Linked DNA regions of Caenorhabditis elegans. The protein of the gene in region 2 purifies or fractionates together with the protein of the main gene of each other region. This does not show direct contact. Each region holds a gene or a part of one and is shown on either strand. Other genes may lie near its edges.

The links.
Region 1: the proteins of tth-1 (region 2) and dct-16 fractionate together in Caenorhabditis elegans (co-fractionation; one large-scale study listed by BioGRID). This does not show direct contact.
Region 3: the proteins of tth-1 (region 2) and dbd-2 fractionate together in Caenorhabditis elegans (co-fractionation; one large-scale study listed by BioGRID). This does not show direct contact.

Annotation. Positions count from the first base shown.
Region 1 is NC_003283.11:20,497,419-20,501,175, forward strand, and holds dct-16 (DAF-16/FOXO Controlled, germline Tumor affecting), read right to left. Parts: upstream 1,640-3,757; 5' UTR 1,591-1,639; coding exon 1,578-1,590; intron 825-1,577; coding exon 565-824; 3' UTR 506-564; downstream 1-505. Other genes in the region: dct-14 (DAF-16/FOXO Controlled, germline Tumor affecting), read right to left, coding at 2,635-2,787, 2,841-2,957, 3,011-3,076.
Region 2 is NC_003284.9:8,421,879-8,425,658, forward strand, and holds tth-1 (Thymosin beta), read right to left. Parts: upstream 1,854-3,780; 5' UTR 1,832-1,853; coding exon 1,714-1,831; intron 1,402-1,713; coding exon 1,196-1,401; intron 1,120-1,195; coding exon 988-1,119; 3' UTR 976-987; intron 843-975; 3' UTR 602-842; downstream 1-601. Other genes in the region: tag-123 (Transmembrane 9 superfamily member), read right to left, coding at 49-174. UniProt on the Caenorhabditis elegans protein: Plays an important role in the organization of the cytoskeleton by regulating actin polymerization in two ways. Firstly, by binding to and sequestering actin monomers (G actin) inhibits actin polymerization.
Region 3 is NC_003280.10:4,561,120-4,564,085, reverse strand, and holds dbd-2 (DB domain-containing protein), read right to left. Parts: upstream 1,137-2,966; 5' UTR 1,136-1,136; coding exon 983-1,135; intron 894-982; coding exon 636-893; 3' UTR 626-635; downstream 1-625. Other genes in the region: M03A1.8 (ascorbate ferrireductase (transmembrane)), read right to left, coding at 1,617-1,760, 2,376-2,539, 2,584-2,663, 2,719-2,966.

The DNA.
Region 1 (3,757 bases), on a different chromosome or scaffold from region 2:
TCGAAAAATTAATCTTAAAAAATCAATTTTTGTCACAAAAATTTATCGAAAAAAAAGCTGATTTTATAAGAAAAAATAGAGATTTTTAAAAAATTTACAAGAATATATTTTCCATGAAAAATCACTTGGAAAGACCATTACAAGTTCAAAATTACAAAAAAATTATTTATTACAAGCTCATAATTGAATTAAATTTGCGTGGTTCGATCTACTTCGATCTTCGAAAAATGCGGGAATTGAGATGCAGATTTCTCAATTGACTTCGCATGGATAAAAGCGTGCACTTTTTGGGCAAAAAAATCCCGCATTTTTTGTAGATCAAACCGTAATGGGACAGCCACCATGTATGTACATTACTTTTCAAGTAGGTCAAGTAGGTTCGGGCAGTTTCCGAAATTTTAAAGGAACTTTTTCATTAGAAATACGTGGTGTCATTACTGTTTGATCTACAGAAAATGCGGGAATTTTTTTCCCAAAAGTATGTGACCATTACAAGTTTAAAATTACAAAAATTATTTTATTACAAGCTCATAATAGAATAAAATTTCAAAACAAAAAGAAAATCTATTGCTTCTTGGCGGCCTCGATAAGCTCGGCCTTCTTCTTCTCAATAATGACAGCGTAGATCTTCTGATCGGCTTCCGATTGTCCCTTAATATACTCATTGGTCTCTCCGATCATTTTTGTGATAATTGCCAAAGAAGTGGCAGCATCACGTTCTGGCTCATCGTCCTTCTTCTTGTAAGTGGCGGCGATTTTGAGAATTCCCTCGATGGATTCTGGCGAGAGACCGGCGGCTGTCATCTCCTCCTTGGCTTTTGCGACTGAAATTTTTTTTACATATTAGTAGGGTATTAGGAGACCTACAAAAAATCCGAAAATTTTCAATTTTTGGATTTTTATTAGGTAATTTGCGTGGTTTGATCTACTTAGATCTTCGAAAATGGCGGGAATTGAGATGCAGACTTCTTAACTGATTTTGCATGGTTAAGAACGTGCTGACGTCACATTTGTTTGGGTTAAAAAATCCCGCATTTTTTGTAGATCAAACCGTAATGGGACAGCCTGACACCACGTGTGTGCTGTACTTTTCAAGTTGGTTGTATGTTCGGGTAGTTTCCGATATTTTTAATAAACTTTTTTTATTGGAAGCGTGTGGTGTCAGACTGCCCATTACTGTTTGATCTACAGAAAATGCGGGAATTTTTTTCCAAAAATATGTGACGTGTCAGCATGTTCTTAACCATGTAAAATCAGTTGAGAAGTCTGCGTCTAAATTCCCGCTTTTTTTGTAGATCTCACCAAAATGGGACAGCCTGACATCTAAAAATGTAAAAAATTAAATCATTTTTTGGTGTTGTATCCTATAATATCTGGAATATGAGGTTATTGTACAATTACATGTAAAAAATCAAAACAATAACTTGCTAAAGAATTACATACTTTTTTCTGCCGAAAAATCAACAAAAATTGAAAATTTCAATTTTTCGCCATTTTCGGTCTTATTGTTAAATTTTTTTCAAATTGAACAAAAAACATGAATTCTTGAAAAAATAAGCATACATCCAAAAACTCACGTTTCTCGGCCATTTTTAGTGTTGATTCAGCAGCAGCAGCAGTGAAAATTGATGCCTATGCCGAAATGTGGCACCCCGCTTGGCATTTTATACCGAGAAAAAATGTTTGTGACCGCATGCACTTTGCTCTTCCAGCGCGTGTTTGCATGCTTACGTGTTCCGAACGAAGACCGTTTTTGCAGTTGTTGCTCCGCGAGCAACTAATTTAATGATGTGTCAAGAACACTATGTAGATAAGGAATTTTAGTGATATGACGGCTCGCGAAGATTTTAACGTGGAAACTTGCTGGAATCCATGTGGCAAATAGAGATTAATGTCTGATATTTTCCAGAAAAACTATGGCCCAGGCTTAGGCTTTATAGGGTTATTCATGAGATGACGATAAATGCAAAAATGTATTTTTTACATTTTTCCCCTATCTATTCATGTGTGTAGAAAAATGTAAAAAAAACACATGCTTTTTTTGCATTTTTCTACATTTTTCTACATTTTTCATGTGAAGCGGGCTGTCGGCCGATGTAGATAAATGTCGAAAAATGTTGAAAAATTAAAAAAAATGCCTTCGTTTTTAGGGATAGGGTAAAACTGTATAAAAATCATTTGTGCATTTTTTGGCATCACATGAATAATCCCAATAGCTTCGGTTTAGCGTTTAGGCTTAGCTTTTTTTTAAGGATTAGCTTTGGCCTAAGCTCAGGTGTATCAAAGTTTTAAGAGCCCATGATTACAGACCACCTAAAAAATCTCAATGACCAGAATTTCAACGCAAAACATATTTATTATTTATTGAAATAATCAGAAATCACAATTTTTAGAGATAAGAGGGCAGGAGAAATGATGGGAAGAAGGTGAATGGCATGATGGTGAAGCTTGTTTGACTACACGGCAGTACATAGGGTAGACCTGACTTTTTGGACATAGCGCTTGGGCCAAGAAGTACTAGGATGATCATGTAGGTTTAGAGGTTGTCTGGAATGTTTTTTGAAAATTGAAATCGCGAAAAGTTTGGAGTTAAAAATAGGATTGTTAGGATTATTGTTTACAAGTAGACAATAGTCACTTGCGACGTGCCGGATCTTCGTCGGCGATCCACAAATCGATCTTGTTCAACTCATTCTGTTTCTTGAGCTCTTCCGGGTTCCGAGGCTTTTCTGGTTTTGGCTCCTTGGGTACCACCTCTGGGTTCTTTTGTTCTGACGTTGAAGCTGTCTGAAAAAAGAATGTAAATAAGTAAATTATATGTTTCTCAAAAAAAAACTCACCTCTATCGCCTTGACCCTCTCCATGTTTTCATTGCGTCGTTTCTCGATCTCTCGCATTTTCACAGTCTTCAACGGGATAAGCTTCGGCTTACAGAAAATTGGCTCAAACCAATCTTCCTGAAAATAAGAAAAACACTCGAGCTTTTTTGTTAGCATAAATCTCAGCTCACCTTGGAAATAACGTAGCACTCATCGACGGTGAGCTTCTCCTCGACACTCGGAGCATCGGGGTTCATTTTAGTTGTGAAATTCAAAGCAATGAGTTTGCAAAAGATTCAGAAATTTGGTTGTTAAGGACAACCTCTTTACAACTCGCTGTGTACCCCTCAATTAAGACACATGAGATGCTTCTCATGGGAATTAAGGGGGATATAGTCAACAAGTATAGGTATACTATGATTAATTATCACGTGCGCTGGTGTGGGTGGGGGTCTGACGAGGTTCTGGTCGGAGGGTAATCTTGATGGGATGCGGAATTAAATTTCAAAAATAATAAGAGGACACGGGGTTCAAAATAAAAATTGGAAAGTAGAAAAATTTGAAAAAAAATTGATCAAGCGACAATTCTAGGTTGGCCAACACTCTGAGAATTCATAGTTGAGTCATCTGAAGTTTTCCTCAATTTTTCAAATTTCCAGCGGAATAGCTCTTTAACAGTGTCTCGATAATGAGCGTTTACGCCGAGGCAAATTAAGAAATGAACGGTGGCGTTAATGGCAACAAATGACGTGAAAATATCCATCAAATAGCGTATGGTAGTTCTGAAAAATAAATTTTGATGAAGCAATACCATTATATTAAAAAAAATTACCAAAAGGATAATCTAATATTCTAATAAGAAGTGATAAATTGAAATTTACAGAAAATACTTGAAACTTGATTTAATTTTTGCTGAAGTTTTAAGAAAAAAAAGTTTA
Region 2 (3,780 bases):
TTTTAACTGAATTTTCAAAGTACTTTCTAAATCACCACAAAAACTTACTGGACAATTCGCTTTTTCCACTTCACAAAAGTTCACTGGTGCCAGGCCAGGAAGGTAGAAAGCACTGGCACTGGCAAGAAACGAAACCAAAAGTAGTTTTGTGAGCATCCTCGTCGTTTTGGGCATTACCTGAAAATTGATATCAACAAAAAGTTCCGTGAAAAACATGCAAAATGAAAGAGAAAACGCGATGGAACGAGACAATAAGGGTCTCTTTGCATAAATCGAAATGCCACGCAAAACTGACGAGGCAGCCGACCTCTCTCGCGTCTCTACAGTGTGTACACTCTTTCGGCGGTGGGTCTCGCAACGATATGACGACGGAGTGTGGATTTACGGCCTCCCTTTAATATTTCAACCCATTTTTATTGGAAAATAGTTTTTTTTTGGTGTTTTAATATCAATTTTCAATGTAGATTTTGTAAAATTTTTAAGAACAACAATCGTTATTTCACACTCAATTAAAAGTATACTCATAGTTATTAATTTAATTACTATTAATATTAAAATACTAACTTTCCTGAAATTGTTTCATTTAAAACAAAAAAAAACTGTAATAAAATATGTTCATTTTCAAGTGGGGAATAAATATGGAATGGTAAAAAATCGATACATCAAATATTATGTAATGAAACGTAAGAATTGATGAAAATACATGTTTGTCAGGGTAAAATGTTAAAATCGATAAAACTCGAACCAGAAAACAAAGAAAACGCATTTAAATGTGAGAGTCCGGATTTTTCACTAACGATAATATGAAGGCGTACCGAATTGAGGTTGAAGAAGGAGGGACTCTGGAAAATAAGAATATAGATTAACATCTCCGTCGTTTCAATTTGCGAATTCCACATCATGACCTAGTAATTCAGATTGAATTTTTAGATATATAGAAACATTGGAAGTTTGATATTAAATAGAAAAAAAAACCTTTTTCATAAATTATTGAGCTTCAGTGACGCGGACATCGGTGGAGACAATGGTTTCGACGTGGTGAAGAGCACTCTTGTCAAAAGAAGCAGCCATTTGAAGAGTCTTCTCGCGAGCAACATCGGTTGGAGAAGGAAGGACGTTCTGAAATACAAACACAAATTGCTTTGTTTCTATAATGTTTTGTTTTAAATGAAAACTTGTGAAAATTGTGAGCTACCTTCTCAATGGTCTCTGTTTTTTTCAAGTTCTCAGATGGAAAGTTGTTGATCTTGTCGGTGAGCTCCAAGTGTTGCTTCTCCTGCTTGATATCGTCAGCCGATGGAAGCACAATCTTCTCCTTCACTGGGGTAGAGTGGAGCTTGGTAGAGTCGAAATGTTCAATCTCGTGAATGCGCTCGACATGTTGCTTCTCCTCGGCGACATCTGAAATGTTAAAACTTTTGAATAACAAAAGTTTGAACTGATCAAAATCATAACATTTCCTGTTTGTGAACTCATGTAATTTTTATATTTTGAAATAGTTATCAGTTATTGTTTGAACAACTGATCATTTCATTTGAAAGTGATAATGACTCCGAACATCGAAAACACATGATTTTTTCTCGTCAGTTTTGATATGTAAAGTTGATGAACTAATGATTGAAACTGTATTGGAATTGAAAACTCTATCGATACTCTATGAATTCCATATTAATTTCCTATTCAATACCAAAAAATCATACAAACACAACTAACCTTCCTTGGTCGGCAAAACATTCTTCTCGGTGGTTTCAACTTTTTTGAGCTCCAATCCCTCTCGGACAGCTCCAGCGAGCTCTTGGTTCATCTTTGGAAGTTCGGTGACGGCAGCCATTGCGAGTTTTGGAGGAAAGTGTCTGCAAGATATAGTAGAGCAATTATTGTCTAAAACATTTTAAGAGGCAAAGTGGGAATGGCAAAAAAAAGAAATGACGGTAGTCAATGAAGAATCAAAAGAATTATCTGTGGGTTACGATTGAAAATGCTTGCGTTTGCCTATATATGAGAGAGGAGGGTTGTCGGCACAATAATAGTGTTTCCTGTGACTAATACTTTTTTTCTTGTCGCACTGACTGACTCATCACTGGGTCTGCTGCTGCTGCTTTTATTTTCAAACGGACGGGAAAAAATTGGGCAATGGACAGGATTTTGAGGACAAAATGACATGAAGAATAAGATGTGAAGAGGGGATTTTGTTTATTTGACTAAAGAAAGAAAGAAAGAGTCTATCATAAACAATTTGAAACGATTGTATATGTATAAGGGTATTGGTATGTGCACGTTTCGATATTGTCATGTTGGAAAAGGGTAGATGGGGGAACAGCGATAAATTTTTATTCAACACGTGATTTATTTGTTGTTTTTTTTTCCTATTTGTGATGGTGAAATAAAATATCGTCATGGCTTTGAAATCGAAGAGTGACTACTGAATTGAATCAATACGGAAAATTGAAAAGGGCATTTAATGTCAACAAACATTCATTCTACACTTCTTCCCATCGATTCCATGAGAACTTTTTGTTCGAGAATTTTGAGAATGAAGAAGTGAAACTGTAAAAATGAAAGGAAAGTGAAACGATTGAGAGGAAAAAGAATTGTACGTTTCCAAGTGTATTCATATTTTCTTTCACCCTTCTTCTCTCGCTCTTCCAAATGACCTACTTCAATTTGATTCACAGTTTTTGTAGTGTGAGGAAAGGTGGAACGCGTGCGTACACAGACATTTGAAAGAAAAAAATTTAGATGGGAAAACTCGGCACAGACTTGGCATGGCAATTATGTGCTTGGCGGGTGTTTAGGAGAAAAACTATTGCAAGAAGTTCGAAAATACAAATTCTATACTAAATTTGAGTACACTAAATTTGAGTATACTTGTAGACAGGTAGCCCGCAGTTTTCGTCATTATAAATTATGTTTACAATTGTGTTTCCCAAACAGGGTTCACATATAGAATAGAATACGCGCACCTACCGCGTGAAGCATCTAATTGGTTAGGGCAGCTTGGGTCAGAAGCTCGACTTATATACGCTATTTGACAAGAACAGGTGTGGGGCTGCTCTTAGAATATTGAAATATATTATTGAAAACAAAACAAGGGTATGATGTTTTCAAGTGCAGTTAGAAGTAGAATGAAGATGCAAGGTTGAAGAGTGGAAAAACTCGGGAAATGGAAAAACAAAAGCCACTTGCGCTTCAACGCCTTTTTCGTACAGTTGTGCGCATAAAAAGACAAAATATTTGCACATGGCCTTCTCTTTCAGGAATATATGAACAAGGCGCAAAAAATACTTCAGCTGATCATCCGGTCAGCTGTTAGTCACCGATAAGTGGTCAACGGAGAGATATGGTGGTATTGCGAAATTGATTTCTGTGAGGAAAAAAACAACTCACAGGAAAATGAGTTTAAGGTGAAAAAACAATAATGGGGCTTGGAAAAATTTCAAAATTCCAGTAAAAAAGGGACTTATACCAGATATTAACAATTTTCTTCAATGCGCATTTAAAAAAATTGTGTGACTTTTAGTTTTACATTACTATTTCAATATTCGGTAGCCGTGTATTCATAAAAATGCTTATATACTAGTATACAGGCATGGCGCTGTTTTTTTTTTGGTTGCGGAGAAGTCCTAAACAAATTCTTTTGCATAAATTTGAGATAGTTTTGGTGTTAAGAGTTGCAATTCTCCATGTGGATTATTGTCGACAAAGACATAGTTAAGAAATAATCATGGGCCATTCTAATGGGTCAAATTTCTGGAATCATCGAAAATTTGGGTTTTCAGG
Region 3 (2,966 bases), on a different chromosome or scaffold from region 2:
GTTCATAGATGTAGATCAAACACAAACAGCCGAGCCTCTATCTCTCTTATTCTCCGTGAGCAACTTTCCGTTTTAAGTGCACGCGATTACCTATGTAGGCGCATGTGAAGCCTTATTGTACTACAGTGTGAGCCGCCCCGACAAACACTCGACTCAACAGCTTTTTCCTTCAAATTGTCAAAACAAAACAATACGAGAAAGAAGGCGAGACGTGAAACTTGGGAAAGTTATGTTGTTAGTTGCTGTAGCTTGGGTAAAGTAGTGATTGAGTACTGTATGATTACTGTAGTTTTGGAAAATGGGGGAATTTTGTAGGACATTGCGGAAACATGGAACTAGGTCCTAAATCCGGGCTTTCTACCGGAAATTTTGAGTTTGAAATTTCATAAACTATATTTTCTATTTCACCTGGAAAACTGGGCCCTGTAACGACAATTATGTCTGAGATCGTGGCGAGACCCACTTGGAAAAACATCATGTGCCTTTGAACTGGCAATTCCAGAACTCCGGACAAGCCAATCAAAAGACAAAATAGCTTGGAAAACTGTTAACTTTATCATCAAGTTGATCTTTATTCCATATTATTAAATACACGTTTCATAATATAAAGAAAATTTCAATTATTATATTTCCATTTAGAGCTTCTTGAATGGCTCGTTCTTGTCCAAATGGTTGTAGAAGCAATCACGGATCTCGTTGAAGTTCTCGGTACAGAAAGCATAGTCCAAATAGTTGGATGGAGCTCCCTTATGAGCGGTACAGTACTTGAGGCATTCTCCAGAGACACCGGCCTTCTTGCAGCAGTCCTCGTGGTTGTGACGGAGGGAAGCACAATCCCACATTTCTCCGACAGTTGGTCCACGCTCTCCGCAAGTCGACATGAAGTTCAGAATCTGAAATAAGAACGTGTAATGGTTATTTCTAGTAAGCTGACTAAATACATCAGAATTGACGCGCAACTAGCTCTCAGGAGACAACTTACGTTAGCTTGAGAAAGAGCATTGAAGTCACAGAATCGATCGACGCACTCCTTATCGGCATCCTTCAACGTGGCACAGCATAGCTTCAGCTTCTCATTTGGAGTAGCAGCAAGAGCAAGAAGTGGGAGAGCCAGGAGAATTGCGAAGCGGTTCATTCTAGAATTAATTACTATGAATATAGATATGTTAACTTTGAAAAATAAAAGAAAACTGCAACAGGTGGAAGATCGAAGAAATGAAGAATACACAGCCTATCGGTGTCAAGGCCCGGACTATTTAAAGGGTCACCCGGAAGACTCCACCTCTGACATATTGAGGTCAGGCTGTGATAATAAAAGAGATAAGATATCACTCCCTATCATAACAATCCTATTTCCTAGAACACCAGTCACCATTGTACTTTTATCGGATTTTTTGAGGCCGGTCAATGTTGCGAAAGATGAATTGCATGTAATAATGTATAGACTCTGTTATAAGAAGAAACATATAGAAAATATATATTTATTTTCTAGAAGAGATAGTTGGTGATAAAGTGAGAAAGAGGACACACACAGCCGTTTAATGGATTATTGCAGGTCAGGTCAGAAAGAGAAAAGTGGTTGGTACGAGAATTAGTTGTCATTGAAAAAGAGGTGATTAGTCATTTTTGAATCCATTTGCAATCAGAAGAGATAATGAAATGGCGACACCGAAGCAGATTCCAACAACGGCGAACATCCATGAGATTTGGATAAGTTGAAGACGCTCCGGTTTTTTGGAATTTTTTTCGGATTTTTCGATCTGTAAGTTGTGTCTTTTGTGGAACATTTTTTTGTGTTACAAATGTTGAATTGAAAAATTTGTGACGTTAAAGTTAGTCTTAATTTTTGTAGAATTTTTTGCTTGAAAATTTTAATAAAACATGTTCTTTTTACCTTAAAAATTCTAGTTTTTTTTCTCAAATTTGATGCAAAAAATTGCAATTCAGGTGCTTTGAACATTCAACAAAATTCTGAAAATTAAGAAAAAAATTCTCAAAAAATATTCAAACTTCTTGTGCGCGGGAATTCAAGTTTAAAACATTTTTAAACTCATTTTTCTCACTGTTTACCGAAACTATTAGTTTTACAAATGAGATATTATGTTTTGGATCACTAACTTTTTTAGAAACTTTTCCCCCTTTTCCACACTTCTTTAATACTAAATTATCAATTTTTGTTGCCAATAATTGAAATAAAAATAAATTAATCATTTAATCTCCAGTGATTTGGCCTATATTGCCCGTAGGAGTAAACTACATACGGACTGCTGGTTCATGTGATTCGCAACATGATATGGTATGATCTTCGTAGAAATGTTCTTATTGCATAGGATATTCCAACTTTAGAACTTTAAATGCAAATTGAAAAATCTTACCATTTCAACTTCCCTATACCCATTTCTCTGCTCGCTTTCCAAATACAAAACTACGAATCCTGTGGCGATACACAAAATGGTCGGCACACTGGTCAGCACAATTTCCATTGTTGGCTCTGACCATGTCTTTCGATAATTGGCGGCAGCCACGTAGATTGCGGCCACTTAATTTGTATAAAAAGTTTGAATTCTAGTCATGGAAACTTACCAGCAAAAGTGTAGGAGAGAAGGCCAACAATTCGATGAGCCCAATTAAAAATTGAACGTTGTGAGTTGGAAGGTGGGCATCTGGAATAAATAAAAAGTATAAAATTTTGCTATTTTTTTACAAAAATAAATCTACCTCAACAAACTATTCAACGGCTGGGAGAATGCCAGAATAGTAGAAATCGTTCCAAAATCCGTGTGCCATTGTGTCCAGTACCATGCTTCAGATCCAGTACCTTTCCAGGTCCAATTTGTTGAAATTAAAATGCACAAAATCGAGGTTACAATACAACAAACACCAATAAAAGTTGAGGCTCGATGAATTTGAAACCATACGAACATTCCGTAAATTGTATGATTTTTGAACACTTGCCGTCCATATCT